3 linked regions of the Saccharomyces cerevisiae S288C genome follow. Changing the gene in region 1 together with any one later gene gives a genetic interaction. Each region holds a gene or a part of one and is shown on either strand. Other genes may lie near its edges.

Region 1 (4,947 bases):
GAGTTAAAAGAATTTAAGGCGGGGTTTCTCTGTCCAGACTTGAGTGATGCGAAGAATATGGAATTTCTAAGAAACTGGAATGGCACTTTTGGCCTTTTGAATACTCTAAGATTGATCAGAATTAATGATAAAGGTGAACAAGTCGTTGGAGGAAATGAATAAGAAGTGTCGCAGAGGAATCTTTATGGTTTATATGCTCTTTATATAATTTTATGTATATTATAGTAGAAAAAGCAAAGAAAAAAAAGAAAATTGATATTATTAGCGAAGCTTTTTCACAAATTAATCCGTAACAAACAAATTGGCAAAGACAATTGAAGGGAGTAGTGCGAAATATGGGCCGTGATATATGCACATTAGACAATGTTTACGCTAACAATTTGGGCATGCTAACCAAACTAGCTCATGTGACAGTACCAAACTTATATCAAGATGCCTTCTTCAGTGCATTATTCGCTGAGGATAGCTTAGTTGCAAAAAATAAAAAGCCATCTTCGAAGAAGGATGTACATTTCACACAGATGGCTTATTACAGTGAAATACCAGTGGGTGGTTTGGTTGCTAAATTAGTTCCTAAAAAACAAAACGAACTATCTCTCAAGGGCATTCAAATCGAATTTTTGGGCGTGTTGCCTAATTATAGGCACAAATCCATCGGTTCAAAATTACTGAAGTTTGCAGAAGACAAATGCTCAGAATGTCATCAACATAACGTGTTTGTCTATTTACCAGCAGTGGATGATCTTACAAAGCAATGGTTTATAGCTCATGGCTTCGAACAAGTGGGCGAAACTGTCAACAATTTCATAAAAGGTGTAAATGGCGACGAACAAGATGCTATCTTATTGAAAAAACACATTTCTTAACAGATGGCTGAAAAATTTTTTTTTTTTTTTTGGTTTTGCTTTGTATACACATGTATCTATTTTTATAAAGATGAAATATATACGTCTAAGAGCTAAAATGAAAAACTATACTAATCACTTATATCTATTCTGGTGATTCATCATCTTCAGCTTCTGTATCCGTATCGATATCAGTATAATCGCTAGCATCACTTTCATCATCACTTTCGGTTTCGTCGTCATCAGTAGAGTACTCATCATCCTCCTCAGAATACACCTCTACTTGTTCCACTGCAGGAGAATCACGAACTTTCATATTCATGGTAATATCCAAATCTGTAGTGAAATAATCTGTGGATTTAACGATTACTCTAAAAAAGAAATCACCAACAGTTTCAGGTGCAGGCTGACCTAATGGAATTTTTATGGTCCCGATTTCCCAATCATTTATATCGAATTTTTCGTGTTTGGTTAAATCCATTTTTATCCTCTTATCAAAGAAATCTTTGTCATCGTTCAAGTTCTTGTAAGATAGCTTTTCAATGATAATTGGCGTTTGAAGTATTTTACCATCTTTTTGAGAACTTACCAGACAGCACCAACTCCCACGTCTCTTTGTAGGGAAAAATGGTGCAAAGGAATATGGGACGAGTGGCTGTTTACTCATCATAGCAAATGGATCTCTTTGAGATTCAAAATCTTGAGGTTCTGTTAAATTTTCTTCAGGAATTAAGCTAGTTGGTATCAATGGCTGTTTAGCAGAACGAACCAGTACTTTCAAAGAAATGTATGGGGTAGATGATGGTGTTACTTGGTTCTCACCTGGGACAAGGAAGTCTGCCTTGATGATCTTTAGATTTGGAATATGCGATGCAACTCTCAAAGTTTCGTTTAACTTTGCTTGATCCTTTATTCCAAGAACCTCACCAATCTTGGCATCTTCTAAAGTAAACAATTTACCTAATGTATGAATATCTCCGGTTTTGGTAATAAAGTGCTCTTTATCTACGTTCGGCAATTGAAGGATTTGACAGTTTGGTGTTAATGGTACAGCCTGAACAATACACTTGAAAGTATTGATTGCACCCAATGCAATATCTAAATTTCTGAATCCACAAGCAATATCCAATAAACCGTGTAACAAAGAGTGACATTTGGCCACTATTCTAAATTTCGCATTGTTAAGTTTACCACTATCTCTGCGGTTAATATGATCTTGCAAAAGTTTTTCAAAATCCGTTGGTTGCAAATCCGGGAAGAATTGTTTAAATTCATGAGCAAATGATAACCAGTGTAAGATCAAATCTGTGGTGACAATCTCAGATGGCTTGTAATTGACTAAGTTACTAACAAAATTAGAAGCCGTCACATTATGTATTCCCTTCTTAGTATACGATTGTGTTCTTGCCCACCATCTACTAACAAAATATGGCAAGATTAAACCTAGTAGCGCAACATAACAAACCACTAATAATGGAGATGCACTTCCATCTACCAAAAATCTTGGTAGAGCGATACCATGTGAAGTAGATTGTGGGCCATCTGGATGACCGTATTTCAAATAGTTTTGCCTAACCAATTCGTCAGTAAGGGATTCGTAAGCCTTCGTAATCTGAACATAAGTTTCTTCCATCACACTTTTCTCATCAGGTGTTAGGCCCTTTGCTAATTTATCTGGATGAAATTTAACAGATAATTTTCTATAAGCAGATTTGATGTCTCTATCGGAAGCACTAGTAGAGATACCAAGGATTTCATAAGGATCAAATAATTTTGTAGCAGCGTCTTTAATCGCGTCATTACTATTAATCCTTTGCAGAAGAATTGCAACTAAGATCCAACCCACAATAATTATAATATTTCTCCTGCTCCATATTTTGGACTTCTTATTACTATTTTTATCAAACTTCCTTCTAAATTGTTTGATTTCATCACTGGTGTATTCTTCATTCAAGTTCTTGAAAACTTCCTCATTAAACTCCTTACTCTTCCCTGAATTCCCATCTTCAGCATTGGCCCCAAAAAAAATTTGGTATATTTGAAGCAGTGTCATAGGCCCGACGACCATCAAGAGCCCCGTTAAAATGAAGGACGGCCACGTCTCACTAGCCTCATCATACTCGTAATTTGTAGGCATTGTGCTGTAATATGCAGTATATTTATTTTGTTGCGAAGGCCTTCTTTGGTCAATTATAACTGACTATTGTTCCAGTCGCATCTTTTATTCGTTCAGTGATCTTCGACGTGTTCAAGACAAATTTTTCAGAAAACGCCTTTCCGTAACGAGTGACCAATTCGCGTTATAAGAGCGATTGTGTCAGTAATGAAGTCAGATTGTGACATTATAAAGCTAAGACGTTAATAACTCAAAATAGAAAAGAAGCATGAGAGCACCACCTTCACCGAGAAAGTCCAAATCTGGTCATTTTTTTTACCTATATTTTCGACTGTGTCAACTGTTCAGTGGCCGGAAATTAAAGAGGAGGTGGCATGTCCACAAACTTCACATTCACCAATATAATACTCGCTGGAACTTGAGCCCCCTCTCCGAAATACACATTGAGGACATGATAAATGAACCGTCTGGACTATGTCCAGGAAGTTCCAAAAAGAAACCACTACTGATTGCAAGGTTTCCCAAGGGTTGCCAAGAATCACCAAGGGTATATGTACTGCAAAGGAACAATTTGTCTCGTTTAAAATTAAGCAAAAGAAAATATGCCCTAAGGTTCTATCACAATGAAATTTTTGGCAATAATTTAAAGAGAAAAGACGGAAGCATCCACAAAGTTGAACACCAACAGTGCGCAGAAACCGTTAGAAAGATCAAGAAAGTCACAGCAAACCATGCTGATGTTAAAATAATATTTCACGATAAAAATACTATAAGAAGTGACAAATTAGGGGGTAGGAGTAATAAGATGCAGACTAGGCCTAGTGTTCTTGAAGAGGATGTAGAAGAAGAAGTCTCTTCGGTATATATCAGATTTTGTGACGACCATTCCCTGAGAGTTAAAGATTATCACTCTTTGCACAGGCATTCTAAAAAATCTTCTAAAGAAAAACGAAATAATCAGGAGATTGGAAAATCTAAGTTGCTTGGGAAGCTTTTTGAAGAGGAAACATCGCGTCAAAACAAAGGTGTAGAGAAGAAACTAGATACGATTGTGATACAGAAATTTCAAAATTATCCTATTGTCTCCTTCTCTCGTGTCATTTAACAAAAAGATATATACAAACATAGGATACTAAGAGGAAAAGCATCCCAAAAAGAAGAAATGCTTGCATGCCATGTATTACATAATTAAAGAAAAAATTTTATTAACATACTTCCTTATACTTACAATATGTATTCTTTCAGTTCAATTTATTTATACCCGATGTCATTAGTCTCTTCGACAAACAATGCAGCAGACTGATGGAGTACTTTGCCAATAAGGTCAATTTGTTCTTGAGCCCTCTTCCAGTCATCATCGTAAATCGCATCCATCACTCCTGGAAATGTCCAGAAATCTACATTTCCACCATTTTTAGATTTATCCTCCTGTATCAATGTTGGTCCGAACAAAACGTTCTTATAAAATGATCTATTAGGTAGACCCGCCGGAGAGCATGTTCTTCTACCAATATTAGTCAATTTTTTATTCCATGTCCACCTATTAATTGAAAGTAAGGAGGGCTCTATACCATCCCCATGCGACCATACTATGTTCTCCCAACCTTGAGTCCATGACGCCCATTCGCTACCGATTTTCTTCCAAAATAACAAACCTTTGATTATTGATGTGAAGTTTAGTTTTTCAGGGTATGCTTGCTCTAACCTTTGCAATCTTTCATCGATATCTTCAACATAGCTTATTATGTCAAAATGAAGTAGCGGGTCATCAATCAATTCCATACTAATATGTAAAAGATATACTAGCAAATCCTTGACAGATTGTTGGTTCTGTTCGTCTTCCAGAATCTTCTCAACACGTTCAAATTTATCCTCAGATGTTTCAGTTGGGGTGTCACGGTTTCTCGTAGAATCAGAAGATATTACAGATACAGGAATTCCATTTGCCAGAAATGGAGTCCAGTCACCATAGTGCTGTACATTATC
Region 2 (3,317 bases), on another chromosome or scaffold:
ACATCAATATTAGTTACGATTGGCTTTGAAAAAAGAATTCCATCTTCATTTGATGTTCCATCTTCCTCATCTTCATCGTATTGGAAGTGGAAAGCTTCAGCATCTTGAATAGCTTGACTTCTTAGTCTCTCTGTTTCTTCCTTGGAAAATTCTTCCAAAACAGTACAATCAGGCCAAGCTTTTGGCACTTCGCTACCCTCATCATCAAGCACTAAACAAACGTCATCCAAAGAAGAGTTATTTGAAGAAAGACTAGAAGATGGCCTTGAGTTATACTCATCCTCTTCATCGTTTGAATCACTGGATGTGGATTTGGAATTTTTGTTGCTACTATCATCAGAACCCCTCTTTTTCTTTCTTCTCTTGCTGTTATCATTAACCCCAGTACTTGCATTGTTGTTAACATGGTTCATTAACGCATCAACATCAATCACGACATCATTATTCGCGTTCGATTGTCTCCTATCGGTGGGGGAGTTTTCGTCAACAAAACTCTTATGAACAGATTTCCTTCTCTTCAGCCATGATTCAAGCTCTGAAGGGGATAAGTCCGATACTAATGATCTATTCTGATCAGAGGGTCTTAACCCTGCGGGTTTCTTGTAACTTGGTGTTGAAAACTTCATTATTGGCTGTGGTTGAACTGTGCTTGATACACTTTGAGGCCCCTCCCTAGGTTGGCTCATTGAAGGTCTATGATCAATGAACGCGCCCTTGAGCGATGGATCCTCACTTTTTATTATATCATTACTTGTAGAATCAGATTCATGCAGCATGCCCCAGGAATCGATCTGGTCGAAATCAGTAATCTGGCCGTGATTGTGTTGCAGATTATCATGCAGCAGTTGCGTTGGCCTACGTGAGTCTGACTTCAAGTGACCAACAAACTTGTCCTTTCTTCTTTTTTGATTGCGCTTCTTTTTCCTTAGTTGAGGGCTACTAGAGTAAGGGGAAAGCAAAGGAACACCTTCATCCTTTTGTGAGTTATCAGTGCTCATTTTTAATCTTTTTCTTCTCTACACTTCTCACTTTTATTCTCTCAATTTACTGTCGAAGTAAGGGGATAAACTCAGTGTAGCAATACGTACAACTTAGTCATCAAATGAAAAAATGCGGACTACCAAACCAGAAAATGATGAATAGTTATACAAGTATACGATAGTACAAAAATATATTTAAAGGGCCAGGTACTACTAACGACAACCTGGGCTAGGTTTCACATATCAAAAAGAAGTTATGGCTTATGTGCTCTTTCTAAGTTTGACTTTATGCCAAAAATTTCTCCGTAGATCGCCGCCCGTTGAAGCAGCAGAATATTTTAAGTGCGCCATAAAAACCTAGATAGAAAAGAAGGGAGAGAACATAAACGCAGAACACCACTACTTTTAAGGCGTACGCAAACTGTTGGGCTTATCTATATTGTACTATCTACCTACTTGCAACGTCTTTTACCTCCTCGATACGTACTGCTTATGCCCTGAACAATTTACATGTAACCCGCAGCTGCATGCTATATCACAGGATACGTTAACATAAAGGGGGCGCTACTAAACCCTCTGGCGCAGTGCAAAAATAGAAATATATGCCAAGTGGGACCTTGTATAGTTTCTGGTTTAAAGCTATTCGTTCATTGCAACGCTCCTTTCTGCTATCCTTTCGCAAAGTGGCAAGTACTGAAAACCGAGAAGAATAAATAATATTGCGATGAGTTTATACTTTACGACATTATTTTTATTGCTCACTGTTGAGATGGTAATGCTCTTCATCTTCGTTTTGCCTTTGCCATTCCGGATCCGTAGGGGTATTTTTAGCACCTATAACCAATTGACAGCGAAGCAGCAAATAAAAACTATAATCTTTATAACGGGTTGTCTTGTTGGCCTGTTGTTTATTGATTCATGGAAAAGGTCTCAAATTCGTGTTTCATTATACCACAACGACAACAGTGGCTCAATCGGGTCATCTGCTGTAACTCCAATACAGGCACTAGCATCAAGAGCGTACAATCAAAGAAATATGTATATTTCCGGGTTCATATTGTACTTTTCTATCTGTATCCCAACTGTCATGTCTATTGTCAAGAGACTGGTGAAATACCAAGGCTTAATCAACGAACAAGAAAAGCAAAAATTGAACAAACCTTCCTCAAACAGCAAGAAAGACTCAAATGAAGCTGATTCCACCAAACTTCAAGAGGAACTAAGGAAAAAGCAAATTTCTCTGGAGGGCCTACAAAAGCAAGTCAAAAACCTGGAGAAATATTTTGATGAGAAGAATCAACCTGGAAATGTAGCAGCTGCTGAAGCTTCCAAGAAAGGAAACTAAATAGATATATTTATGTATAAATGTATATACGTGTTACCTCTGGTGCTCATACTTCTCTGGTCGCGACGCAATACGAAAATGCTACTGAAATAAAAAGCAAGCGATTAGATCAAATGAATATATGCATTATATGTTACCAACTTTATTTTTTTTGAATATAGACGAAAAAACGTTAGAGAAAGACATAAAAAAAAAAGATTGAGCTTCGTGACTCGGTTTACCATTCTGTGTTATATACGAAAACCCTTATATAACAACTTTTTAAATTTTTTTCTCATTTTGGTATATCTTTTTAATTTCACTATGTTTGCTATCGTTCTTATAAAACAAATAAAGTAGAACTGGAATCATAACACCCACAGAACCGACCATTAGTCTAGATGTTTGTTTCTTAGGATTAGACCCTATCACAGGCTCAAAATCCTTTGAGGATACATATCTCCTACTTGTCCGTTGTAATAATTTCAAAATATTAGATCTCATCATTTAAAAATGTAAGCTTTTTTTTACTTGAGTTTTTGTTGTCAGAGTTAGGTCCAAAGTCCCTAGAATAGTGTACGCGATAAAACTCAGCTGCAAGTCTAATATATACATTCCGCCAGAAATTTCAATTTGGGATCCCTGCATATTGCCAAATTTATTGGAGAAACTGTTAAACCTAAAAGAACGGTAGTAGCTCTATCAACTTAAGGGTTGGGCACCCTTAAATGTTTCATTCAATAGGGAGATCCATTTCAAGTTGCCTATTTACTTGTACCCCTACATAGTCCAAGGGCGATGAACTACCTATAATAATGCCGGTAGGCATGCTTCCGGATATTACAAGACTATTCGCTGAAACCGTATGAACATCGTACGTTCCGCGATTGTAATAGACCTTTGCCAACTTGTATTTTTCGATGATACTATAAAGTTCGGAAAGAAGAAGGAAGTGTGGCAATTTCACTGGGAGCCAAAAGCATTTGACATCAGGCGTCATTGAAGCGTCATTA
Region 3 (4,467 bases), on another chromosome or scaffold:
GAGGTACAACAAAATTTGGGAGTACGATTGCCCGCTGTTTTTGAACTTACTCTCACTTTTTGCTTCGTATGTAATTAAGCAAGGATGTGTTACAATAAGATTTCGCTTTGTTATTATCGTTTTAAAAGCGGTCGCCGAAGTGTCGAATAAAGGACAATGATAACGTAAAGAGAAAGAAATTGGAAAGAGACTGACCGCTAAGGAGATTGAATACATATATATAATAGTATGTGGTTAACTTGGAGAAGATAAATTGGATTTAAAGTAGTGGATAATTTTTCTTACATTTTCTATTGGTAAACCATAGACAGGGTTGACATCAGTAAGTTTCGATGATCCAATTAGGCGGTCTGGAGTACACTTAATATTATGTGGAGAATCATTAGGAGTGCAACTGTATGAACTTTCCGCAACAGCCAGTCCTAATAGGCAATAATTTGTATGGTAAAAGTCTGAGTGGGCCCCTGGTTTATCTCTCAAACCAGGTTGCTCTTTTTCTTGGCAACAGTACAATATGTAGTCCCGAAGAGCATGTTTGTTGAAGCATTGGCCATATCCAAAAGCTTCAAGAATGGCAGCCGAACCTCCAACCCAAAAACTATAGCAACCGTCAACAAGTTTGTTGCTCCTTCCGCAAAATCCTCGTTCTTCTTGCAATTGACGAGCACTAGACCATTCTAAAAGCTTTTCAACATTTATTTGGTCCATGGACCTTAAAATTGCTAGACTAGCTGTAGCACAGAAAGTATAGCCTCCGTGTGCCTCATCTACGTGAGGACAACTGCCGAATCCACCTTCATAATTTTGACAATTTTTCAAATAGTTTAACACACCTTCTGTAAGCTCTTCTGTAAGAATATTTAATAAGGTTGCTATGCTCAAGGCACAGTATATACCTCTTGTATCCACTTCTCCGACTTCTAAACAGGTCTTGAATCCTCCATTAGGCTCTTTCAACGATATCAGCCATTGGTAAATTCCTTTTCGATCAATTCTGTCCCAGCATCCATCTATGTTATCGCAAAGGGAGAGAGCATTAATTGCAGCATAAGTGCTGGCCAAATGAGATAATTGGCCAGGACCTCCACCAAAGGGTCCTCCTGAAGGACTAATAGTAAAGAGCTTATCTACAATTTTTCTTTTGGTGTCATCTGAAAGCCAGTCTCTGTCCATTACCTTCAATGAGTTAGCAATCCAATATAGCATCCACGGTTGTGAAGCATCTAGTGCTGTCATTTGTGGAGGTAACGATATCTCAAAAGCGACATCCAAGTACATTTTGTGAAACTCTTTCGTGAGAGCAGGTTCTATATTCTTTTCATCATCGTATATCTCTAATACACTTTGTAGTACTTTGTATCGTGCTTCTGTAGTGTCGGTTTCTAGTTCCTTCATCAATGGTTGGATTGCTTTACTTGAATCTACATGCGCTATATCGACGACTCTTTCCATAACTGGTCTCTTTCTTCCTAATAAGGCAGTATTTATAAATTTAGCCCTAGCTATGGACCTTCCTACTCTCTGTCGCATACGCTTTGATTGCCTATAGCTTTACAAGCACTGCAGTTGTTTCTGCATAAGAACGGCGATGATATGGACCCTTGCTTGGTTTATCCTAGCCACTTTCGCGTGTTTCAGTTTCAAGCTTTCCTAATCAGGCAACAGCTTATACGAAAAGATTAATAAGTTACAATGTTAAACAGTTTCGCTTCAAGACCTCTAACGTTAGCCAGAAATAATAAGAATAGGTGGATTAAGTTACAAGTGTTTTTGTCCTCCTACTTAATCAGAACAGAGCACGGGAATAGTGATCTCTTTCAATAGCGAAAGGAGGGAAAAATAGCCCTGCAATATATAAAGGAAGAAGTTAACACCGTATTAAAAGGGGTGAGGCCGTTGGGACAAGTGGTAGTTTCCTTAAAGTCTGGTTTGATTGACAATATTTAGAAGTTAGTGAAACGAACAACCTAAAAAACTTTGTTGTGCAGTAGAGAGCTTTACATTTACCTTCGGCAGTAAAATGGGTTCAAATGATTTGATAAATGAAGCATATGACGACTCGGAAGTAGTTGGTGAGGAAAGAGAATCAAAATCTGCATGGATGAAGAGGTGGTATCAGCTACTTACTTCTCCTTTAGACTTGCAGTTGGTAATAAATGAAAAGTTAGAAATGATCAACTGGGATGCTTATGCTAAAAGTCTAGCTAAGCCATTAGGGAATTTTTTAACAATACTTTTTTTTATCATAAGACTCTTGCAGGACAATTTGATCAAGCCCAACTATTACAAACTAAACGTCAAGTCTGGCGCTTTCGATCTTTCTAAATCCAATAAATTAAAAGAGTTTGATTATCTATGGGAGATATCATCCAGCTTTCAAAACAATAATCAATTTTATGCATTTCAATCTTGGTATTTTGTTACCTTAAGGTTTTTGAATAATCTTTTCAGGTTTACTATTTTCATACTGCTGTCCCTGAACCTGTACGTAAGCTGTAAATTCATGTTTGGATACTTTAAGACTTACAATCTCTTCCATTTGAAAAAAGAGTTCAACTCCCCAAACCTCACTAAACACAACTTGAAGGATCTAAGCAAAGAATACTATGAAGATATTTATAAGCAGTCCTTGTGGTCTATGTTGAAGCATTTTTTCAGAGGATCTCGTGATGACGGTCCTCATGTTAATCAAAATGAAGATGAGATATTTTTTCAGTTAAGAAAATGGATCCCCACTAACTTCATGATTAATCTTTTTGTGTCTTTTTCACCAACGGCAATTGTTTTTTTAAGCTTTTCTGATGTTTCGTTTACTTCAGCAATTGCTATAGTATTCCATCAATATATTCTGGATTATATCATAACTAAGAGATTTCAAAGAAGCGTGGACGACGACTTGATTTTATCAAGTGCAGCTTTGCAAGAATATGAGGACAAGCATATAATGGCACGAATTAACCAATGCAGCAATATAGATACTCTATCATCTGCAATGGGTACTAGATCTAAAACACCGAGAATATTCACCACTCACTCCCTATGTGGCGAAGAAATCAGAGAGGTTTATAATTATGAAAAAAGGGAATTTGAGGCATTACCGAAAATGACAGAAAGTGTGCCAGGATCCCGTGAAACCAGAATAAAGGATTATGGAGGCATTTCTCAAGTATCTGACCATCAAAGTCATCCCATTGGTTTTCATTATTCTCCTAGAATGTCCCCATATTATAGGGATAAAGTTTTGGATAACAATTTGGCTCAATCATCGTCAAATGAAAATTTAGAGAAGGGCGGAGCTTACCTGCCGAATCAAGACCAAAATAGACCATCGAAATCCCTGAGCCCATTGAGAAAAACGCCTTTAAGCGCACGACAGAAAAGGTTTGAAGGCTCAGAGTTCAATGTATTGAATAAGAATGATATTAATTCCATTCTTCGCTCTCCAAAGAAAAAGAAGAACTATCACAAAAGATAACGTTTCTTAATTATGTCTAAGTATATACAGTTACGTAAAAATCAATAAACAAAAGTAAAACAATGCTGTTTGAAAAGTTATCAAAATAATAAATGTATGAAGTATTGTAAATGTTCATGAATAATTAGCTGGACGATTTCTGTTATAGGTCATTCCAACCAAATAACCAATTACTCAGTTTGTGCGTAAAACCAGCAGGTTCATTATTTCTGTATTTCGCTTCTTGCTGACGCATTTTCGATTCTAGGTTTCGCAACAGATTAGGAATATTCGAATTCGGTCCTGCATTTTGCATGAATGGCAATTTGCCATCTATTACATCCAGCCGCTTATTCGGAGAATTTGCTACTATTGGACTTGAAATATTTGTTGGATTACCAGCATGACCGGCAGGAGTATTATCGTCTTCCCTCAGAAGAGTGCCATCAGTTATTATTACGTTTGGTGGGGATGGTGTATTAGATGTCGACGATGTGGAGGAATTTTGATACATAGAAACGTTGAATTCTCCAATGTCGTCGACATTATCAATTTTGCAGCCAGCTAATTGCTCCACCGCATTTTTTGAATATGGGATGCAACCAATCAAAGAACCGCGAAATATGGTTCCATTTTCCTGCAGTGCTCTCAAAGCAGAAGATGGAGAATTATAAGTGAGTTTGACCCAACTTTCACCAGTAAATATTGGATATTTTTTGTTATTCGACTCATTATTTCTGCCTTTTAAAGTAATAGATTTATTAACAGTAGAATCGTTTTCATCACAGCCTGTATCATGATTATGGAATATTCTGAAGGTGTTGGGGTTAATCCCGCGACCCAATCGCAATACTTGAAAGTCTTCCATAATATGACCGAAATGGGAGAAGTGTTCAATCAATTCATTGGAAATTGATTCAGGATAGCCAAATACGATAATTGCGCTCAAACTAGAAGACTTGGAAGATGTTTCATGGACTTTATTGTTTGTTTCGGCGGTGTTGTAATTATTA

What was found.
Region 2: mutations in SEC63 (region 1) and YET1 impair growth when combined (synthetic growth defect), as found in Saccharomyces cerevisiae (2 studies listed by BioGRID, with this or other methods).
Region 3: mutations in SEC63 (region 1) and NUR1 together harm fitness more than expected from each alone (negative genetic interaction), as found in Saccharomyces cerevisiae (2 studies listed by BioGRID).

The regions. Positions count from the first base shown.
Region 1 is NC_001147.6:804,042-808,988, forward strand, and holds SEC63 (protein-transporting protein SEC63), read right to left. Parts: upstream 2,983-4,947; coding exon 991-2,982; downstream 1-990. Other genes in the region: TMA16 (Tma16p), read left to right, coding at 1-162; peptide alpha-N-acetyltransferase subunit NAT5, read left to right, coding at 336-866; OSW1 (Osw1p), read left to right, coding at 3,230-4,066; TRE2 (putative zinc metalloprotease), read right to left, coding at 4,213-4,947. UniProt on the Saccharomyces cerevisiae protein: Acts as a component of the Sec62/63 complex which is involved in SRP-independent post-translational translocation across the endoplasmic reticulum (ER) and functions together with the Sec61 complex and KAR2 in a channel-forming translocon complex.
Region 2 is NC_001143.9:315,445-318,761, reverse strand, and holds YET1 (Yet1p), read left to right. Parts: upstream 1-1,704; coding exon 1,705-2,325; downstream 2,326-3,317. Other genes in the region: putative Mg(2+) transporter MNR2, read right to left, coding at 1-998; DPC7 (Dpc7p), read right to left, coding at 2,587-2,808. UniProt on the Saccharomyces cerevisiae protein: May play a role in anterograde transport of membrane proteins from the endoplasmic reticulum to the Golgi.
Region 3 is NC_001136.10:294,800-299,266, forward strand, and holds NUR1 (Nur1p), read left to right. Parts: upstream 1-2,020; coding exon 2,021-3,475; downstream 3,476-4,467. Other genes in the region: RAM1 (protein farnesyltransferase), read right to left, coding at 235-1,530; FG-nucleoporin ASM4, read right to left, coding at 3,618-4,467. UniProt on the Saccharomyces cerevisiae protein: Member of a perinuclear network that controls recombination at multiple loci to maintain genome stability. Required for rDNA repeat stability.